Macaca fascicularis: one gene and its partner. The protein of the gene in region 1 interacts with the protein of each later gene in a pairwise test. Links are inferred from orthologs where the notes say so. Each region holds a gene or a part of one and is shown in the gene's direction. Other genes may lie near its edges.

Region 1 (3,815 bases):
TTTTGAAAGAAAATTTCATTATTTTCCTTGTTGCCTACAAATCTGAAAAGTATACATCCTAAGTAAAAATCTTTGCCTTAAGATAACTGTCCAGGCCAGGTGCTGTGGCTCACACCTGTAATCGCAGCACTTTGGGAAGCCGAGGCGGGTGGATCACGAGGGCAGGGGTTCAAGACCAGCCTGGTCAACATGGTGAAACCCCATCTCTACTAAAAATACAAAAAATTAGCCAGGTGTGGTGGCAGGCGCCTGTAATCCCAGCTACTCAGGAGGCTGAGGCAGGAGAATTGCTTGAACCTGGGAGGCGGAGGTTGCAGTGAGCCGAGATGGTGCCATTGTACTCCAGCCTGGGCAACAAGAGTGAAACTCTGTCTTGGAAAAAAAAAAAAAAAAAGATAGCTGTCCAACAATGCTGTGGTGTTTTGTCATTTGTTTTCCTTAAAGTTTGTTTTTATGCTAGGATTATTGTAAGAAGTAGGAACAATAGCTAATATTTATTGAGTGTCAACTGTTTGCCAGGCTCGGGGCTAAGCTCTTTACACTCATTATCTGATTTAGCCAGGCTGCAAGCCTGTGATTCACGGACTCTCATTATCTCTGTGTTAATGAGGTGGAAAGTGAGGTTCAGAGGTATGGAGTAACTTCTCCCGAGTGGCACAGCTAATCGTTGGGAGGGCCAGCATCTGAACTTGGTTTCTCCCCTCACAGAGCCATGCTGTCATCCCAAGTGCTAGGGCTCTGCTCTTTTCACCCTGTAGCCTGCACTGGTCTCACTGTGTTTTTGCTTATCTTCCTACCCAGATGCACAAGTCTGGCGTTCTGAGGAAGGCCATTGATTACATCAAATACTTGCAGCAGGTCAATCATAAACTGCGCCAGGAGAACATGGTGCTGAAGCTGGCAAATCAAAAGAACAGTAAGTGTGCTGAGAGCAGGGTTGTCCCCCGGCCCGGCTAGGGCTTTGTAAAGGCAGATCATTTTCACCAGGTGGGGTTTTCTTTGCAGAGCTTCTAAAGGGCATCGACCTAGGCAGTCTGGTGGACACTGAGGTGGACCTGAAGATCGAGGACTTTAATCAGAATGTCCTTCTGATGTCCCCCCCAGCCTCTGACTCAGGGTCACAGGCTGGCTTCTCTCCCTACTCCATTGACTCTGAGCCAGGAAGCCCTCTGTTGGATGATGCAAAGGTACAGACTTTTGAAATCTTCTGATCCTTGGAATCTTTCCCATTTCCCCTAAGAAAGTAGCTGCGAGGTCACAGTTATGAGGCCAGGCTGCATGTTCAGAGGGCCTAGCCTGGAGAGAAACAGGAATTCTGTGAAATTAACCAGGTCCTGGAGAATAAAGAAAAAGAAAACTGAGCCGGGCACGGTGGCTCAAGCCTGTAATCCCAGCACTTTGGGAGGCTGAGACGGGCGGATCACAAGGTCAGGAGATCGAGACCATCCTGGCTAACACGGTGAAACCCCGTCTCTACTAAAAAATACAAAAAACTAGCCGGGCGAGGTGGCGGGCGCCTGTGGTCCCAGCTACTCCGGAGGCTGAGGCAGGAGAATGGCATAAACCCGGGAGGCGGAGCTTGCAGTGAGCTGAGATCCGGCCACTGCACTCCAGCCTGGGCGACAGAGCCAGACTCAGTCTCAAAAAAAAAAAAGAAAAAGAAAACTGACTCTGGGGGGAAACAGTCCCTCAGGTTTAACTGGTCCTTGCTGATAGGCCCCGTCAGAGAGTAATGAGTGCCAGATCCAGAACAGGAATGCGGAGTAGCTGTTGTGGGGGCGTTGGGAGCTGCTGAAGGCACCTCATTGCTTCACTCTGCCTTTAATGGGCCTGGCAAGACCACTTTGGGAGGCTGATCAATTCGTTTAGGATGAGGCTGCCTCTGGGTCCTCTTTTCAGAAATGATTACAATTTGCAGTCTAACAGATAACATTTTATCTACGGGCCTTTAATCGTCCAAGAAAGCCCCTGGCAATGGTAGTTTAATGGAATTACTTAAGAGAGGCTCTGAGCCTAATGATCTTCCTGGGAACCTGTAGAGACCACTGGGTTCTGTACTGTATTTTGACTTCGGCAGTTTCTGACTCTGTAAGCACAAAGTTCCCTTCTAGTGTTTGTTTTTGACTAAGCTGTTTATTGTATCACATACTTAATTTTACTAAGGATGCTCTGTTTTTGAAATATTCTTATAAATGTGATTCTGTTTGGCAACAACAGGCTGTTTGACATATAAATTGAATTAGCTCGGCTTCTGAGTCATCAGAAGAATGGTTTTAAAATATTGAAAAGAAATGACATGCTATATACACATTGGGGCGCAGGGGAGATCTGGCTCCAGCCCTCCTGCTATAAAATGGAGAGTGGGGTGGGTGTAGACAATGGTACTGTTTTAGAACAGGTAAAATATCCTTTAGATAGATTCACACTAAATATGATTTTTGATCAACTTTATTGAGGTATAATTTAAATGCAATAAAATATACCTACTTTAAATGTACAGTACCAAGAGTTTTAACATAATGTACAGTGCTATGTAACTGTCACTATAATCAAGATATAGAACATTTCCATCACCCCAAAAAGCTCTTTTGTACACCTTTGCAGGTAGTTTCCCACACCCCTCTCCAGCCTCAGACAATTACTTGATTCATCAGTTTCCTGTTACTTTAGATTCATTTTGCCTGTTCTGGAATTATACAGAAACAGAATCATACAGTGTGTTCTCTTTTGTGGTAGAGCTCTATTTTAAAAGAAAATCTCTTCTACCTTTGTTCTTTGGCACATGTACTTTTCTCAGTTAGCAAGCAGGTGAATGTGCCAATGTTTGAGCAGCAGTTAGTGAATTATAGGCCTCTCAATTCCCATCTGGCCTTAGTCCTGAGTTAATAGACTTGAATTTAAACCTCATAACCATTTCTCAATATATATATGTATTTATAAAGTGCTGTAAAAACCTATGCAGTATTTATTCCAACCTCGAGGCCTTGTTTTGAAGGTCAAAGATGAGCCAGACTCTCCTCCTGTGGCACTGGGCATGGTAGACCGCTCACGGATTCTTCTGTGTGTCCTCACCTTCCTGTGCCTCTCCTTTAACCCCCTGACTTCCCTGCTGCAGTGGGGAGGGGCTCACGACTCTGACCAGCACCCACACTCAGGCTCTGGCCGCAGTGTCCTGTCATTTGAGTCAGGTAAGTGGCGGCCCCTTACACCACCTGGGCATGGCTGGACCACTATGGCAGGAGAAGGACCCTGTGTACAAACTTCTTGGCTTGGCTACCAGGTCCCAAAGGGGTTTTATAGTGGGCCCCCACCTGCTTGCTTCTGATAGGGACTGGCATAAGTTCCGTTTTGGAAGTAACAAGGCAAGCCCAAGTTCAGTCAGAATGAGCAAAACAAATCAGGGACCCACACTACTCTAAATACCCTGGCGTGGAGGGGTGGTACCTATTTGAAGGAGGATATGGAGTTTTTTACCTGAGGTTGCAAAACCAATGCCTTAACCCTTTCAAGCTAACAAAGATTTTTGTGGCACTCAGCTCCATAATGACAAGGGCTACAGTCATTAGCCCCGTTTAGATTATAGAATTATTCACCCTTTCTTCTGAAAATACGGTAGAAGACTCGTTCCTGTGATAGTGCTGGGGTCTGTCAGGTGCCTGGCTGTTCCGCAAGGCCTTTCCTGGCAGGCTCTGCTGAGATACTCCTTCTTAGGTTCTGGGGGCTGGTTTGACTGGATGATGCCTACTCTTCTCTTATGGCTGGTAAATGGTGTGATTGTCCTGAGCGTCTTTGTGAAGCTGCTGGTCCATGGGGAG
Region 2 (3,815 bases), on another chromosome or scaffold:
GTGAGCCACTGTGCCCAGTCACTCTTTGTATTATCTTTTTTTTTTTTTTTTTTTTTTTGAGACGGAGTCTCGCTCTGTCACCCAGGCTGGAGTGCAGTGGCCGGATCTCAGCTCACTGCAAGCTCCGCCTCCCGGGTTTACACCATTCTCCTGCCTCAGCCTCCCGAGTAGCTGGGACTACAGGCACCCGCCACTGCGCCCGGCTAGTTTTTTGTATTTTTTAGTAGAGACGGGGTTTCACCGTGTCAGCCAGGATGGTCTCGATCTCCTGACCTCGTGGTCCGCCCGTCTCGGCCTCCCAAAGTGCTGGGATTACAGGCTTGAGCCACCGCGCCCGGCCCACTCTTTGTATTTTCAATGATGATTCTTGAGATTTCAGTGAGTCTTCAGGTGTCAGTGAATGGAATGGCTGAACATTTTAAAAAGGCTTCAAAACTTGTGATACTGTGAACGTAGGATGTCAGTTCAAAAGAAATGATGCCGTGACTGTAGGGTATCACTGAGATGCCAGTGATAACCTGCCCGTGTCACATGTTGACTCTTTTCTCTCTTAATTATAGGTGATCATGGAGCTCAGCTTGGTCTCCATGGGGCTGGTGGTGATGGAATACATGATGACACAGCAGGTGGAGAGGAAGGAGAAAACAGCCCAGATGCCCAACCCCAAGCCGGTCGGAGGACCCGGCGGGAAGCATGCACCTGCCCCTACTGTAAAGACAGTGAAGGAAGGTGAGTTGACCCAGCAAGTTTCTTACAAATATGAAGAAAAAATAATAGGATTTGGAGGAAAGAGGAAGAAGGTTAATTTTTTTTTTTTTTTTTTTGAGACCGAGTCTTACTCTGTCTCCCAGGCTGGAGTGCAGTGGCGCCATCTCGGCTTACTGCAACCTCTGCCTCCCGGGTTTAAGCAATTCCCCCTGCTTTAGCCTCCCAAGTCACTGGGATTACAAGCATGTAATCCACACCTGGCTAATTTTGTATTTTTAGTAGAGATGGGGTTTCACCAGGTTGGTCAGTGAACTCCTGACCTCAGGTGATCTGCCCACCTTGGGCTCCCAAAGTGCTGGGATTACAAGCATGACCCACCGTGCCTGGCCTTGGGTTTTTTTGTTTGTTTGTTTTTTGTTTTTTTGTTTTTTTTTTTTTGAGACAGAGTCTTGCTCTGTGGCCAGGCTGGAGTGCAGTGGTGTGCGATCTTGGTTCACTGCAACCTCTGCCTCCCGGGTTCAAGTGATTCTTCTGCCTCAGCCTCCTGAGTAGCTAGGACTACAGGCATGCACCACCATGTCCAGCTAATTTTTGTGTTTTTAGTAGAAATGGGGTTTCACCACGTTGGCCAGGGTGGTCTCAATCTCTTGACCTTGTGATGCACCCTCCTTGGCCTCCCAAAGTGCTGAGATTACAGTTGTGAGCCACTGTGCCCAGCTTAACTTTTAAATTTTTTATAGAGATGGGATTTCCCTGTGTTGCCCAGGCTGGTCTCAAACTCCTGGGCTTAAGCAGTCCTCCTGCCTTAGCCCCACAAATTGTTGGGATTACAGGCGTTAGCCACTGCACCCAGCCTAGAAGCCTTTTTAAAAATTTAATTTAATTTAATTTTTTTTGAGACTGAGTCTCGCTCTGTCGCCCAGGCTGGAATGCAGTGGCGCAGTCTCGGCTCACTGCAAGCTCTGCCTCCCAGGTTCACGCCATTCTCCTGTCTCAGCCTCCCGAGTAGCAGGGACTACAGGTGCCCGCCACCACGCCTGGCTAATTTTTTTTGTATTTTTAGTAGAGACAGGGTTTCACCGTGTTAGCCAGGATGGTTTCAATCTCCTGACCCTGTGATCCGCCTGCCTCCGCCTCCCAAAGTGCTGGGATTACAGGCGTGAGCCACCGCGCCCAGCCCCTAGAAGGCTTTTTAAAAGGAAGCCTTGGTCCATCGCGGTGGCTCACGCCTGTAATCCCAGCACTTTGGGAGGTGGAGGCAGGCAGATCCATCACCTGAGGTTAGGGATTCGAGACCAGCCTGGCCAACATGGCGAAACCTCATCTGTACTAAAAATACACAATTCAACTGGACATGGTGGCGTGCACCTGTTGGTGCACTGGACATAGTGGCGTGCATCCTAGCTACTCGGGAGGCTGAGGCAGGAGAATCATTTGAACCTAGGAGGTGTGAGCCGTGATCATGCCGTTGTACTCCAGCCTGGACGACAGAGTGAGACTCTGTCTCAAAAAAACAAAACAAAAAAGAAGGCTTTTTCAAAAAATAAAAGTTTGGGTTAGTTTGGTGTAGGTTGGGTGACTGTTGTTGATACTTTGTGGTTCTTTAGTTTCTGTCTCTAGAATGAATGATAAATAGTTGTATCCTCACTTTCAGGGGCTCGGGGGATCCTGGCAAAAAGAAACAACATATTTGCCACATCCAAGGCTGTGGGAAAGTGTATGGCAAGACTTCACACCTGCGGGCACACTTGCGCTGGCATACAGGCGAGAGGCCATTTATGTGTACCTGGTCATACTGTGGGAAACGCTTCACACGTTCAGATGAGCTACAGAGGCACAAACGTACACACACAGGTGAGCAAGAGCCTATGGGAGAAAAATAGAGTAATAGCCTAGAATGAAAAACACAAAATATACCTACAAAATAACTAAAATTTCTGAACAACTTAATTTGAAACTAAATATATGGGTCACAAATGGAATTGGAGTTAATCTGGAAACCTTTTAAGAAGGAAGGAGGAGCTGCGCACAGTGGCTCACACCTGTAATCCCAGCACTTTGGGAGCCCAAGGTGGGCGGATCATGAGGTCAGGAGATCAAGACCATCCTGGCTAACACGGTGAAACCCCATCTCTAAAAATACAAAAAAATTAGCCGGGCATGGTGGCAGGCTCCTGTAGTCCCAGCTACTCGGGAGGCTGAGGCAGGAGAATGGCAGGAACCTGGGAGGCGGAGCTTGCAGTGAGCCAAGATTGTGCCACTGCACTCCAGCCTGGGCGACAGAGTGAGACTCCGTCTCAAAAAAAAAAAAAAAGGAAGGAGTTGGGTGCGGTGGCTCACGCCTGTAATCCCAGCACTTTGGGAGGCCGAGGTGGTTGGATTTCTTGAGGTCAGGAGTTTGAGACCAGCCTGACCAATATGGGGAAACCTTGTCTCTACTAAAATTACAAAAGTCAAGCGTGCTGGCGCACACCCGTAATCACAGCTACTCGGGAGGCTGAGGGAGGAGAATTGCTTGAACCCAGGAGGTGGAGGTTACAGTGAGCTGAGATTGTGCCACTGCACTCCAGCCTAGGCGACAGAGCAAGACTGTCTCAAAAAAAAAAAAAAGGAAGGAACTAGATTTTGAGTGGGATGTTTTGAAGGCAAAGCGTTGAAACCATTACTCTTAGTCTCTGCCCTGCCTTACTTTTCTGCTAAGTTCTACCCTCCTTACTGAGTACTCCCCAACCTTTATCTACTTTTCTTCCCCACGCCCCCACCAAAGGAAAAGATACTTGAAGATTTTTCTTGTTTTTAATCATCTTCTCATACTGGTCTTACTCAGCTTAGTAGAGTAATTACTGAACTGGGTAAGATAACCTCACTTCCTAACATGTCAGCTTCTTATCTTTCCTTCCTTTACCTAGGTGAGAAGAAATTTGCCTGCCCTGAGTGTCCTAAGCGCTTCATGAGGAGTGACCACCTGTCAAAACATATCAAGACCCACCAGAATAAGAAGGGAGGCCCAGGTGTAGCTCTGAGTGTGGGCACTTTGCCCCTGGACAGTGGGGCAGGTTCAGAAGGCAGCGGCACTGCCACTCCTTCAGCCCTTATTACCACCAATA

Evidence for each region.
Region 2: the proteins of SREBF2 (region 1) and SP1 interact in binary tests that used the Homo sapiens proteins (3 or more experiments, as listed by UniProt). The link is inferred for Macaca fascicularis from reciprocal best matches to the Homo sapiens genes SREBF2 and SP1.

What each region holds. Positions count from the first base shown.
Region 1 is NC_088384.1:9,732,162-9,735,976, reverse strand, and holds part of SREBF2 (sterol regulatory element-binding protein 2), read left to right. Parts: intron 1-801; coding exon 802-916; intron 917-1,005; coding exon 1,006-1,187; intron 1,188-2,995; coding exon 2,996-3,188; intron 3,189-3,711; coding exon 3,712-3,815.
Region 2 is NC_088385.1:60,209,586-60,213,400, forward strand, and holds part of SP1 (transcription factor Sp1), read left to right. Parts: intron 1-560; coding exon 561-729; intron 730-2,362; coding exon 2,363-2,562; intron 2,563-3,617; coding exon 3,618-3,815. UniProt on the Homo sapiens protein: Transcription factor that can activate or repress transcription in response to physiological and pathological stimuli.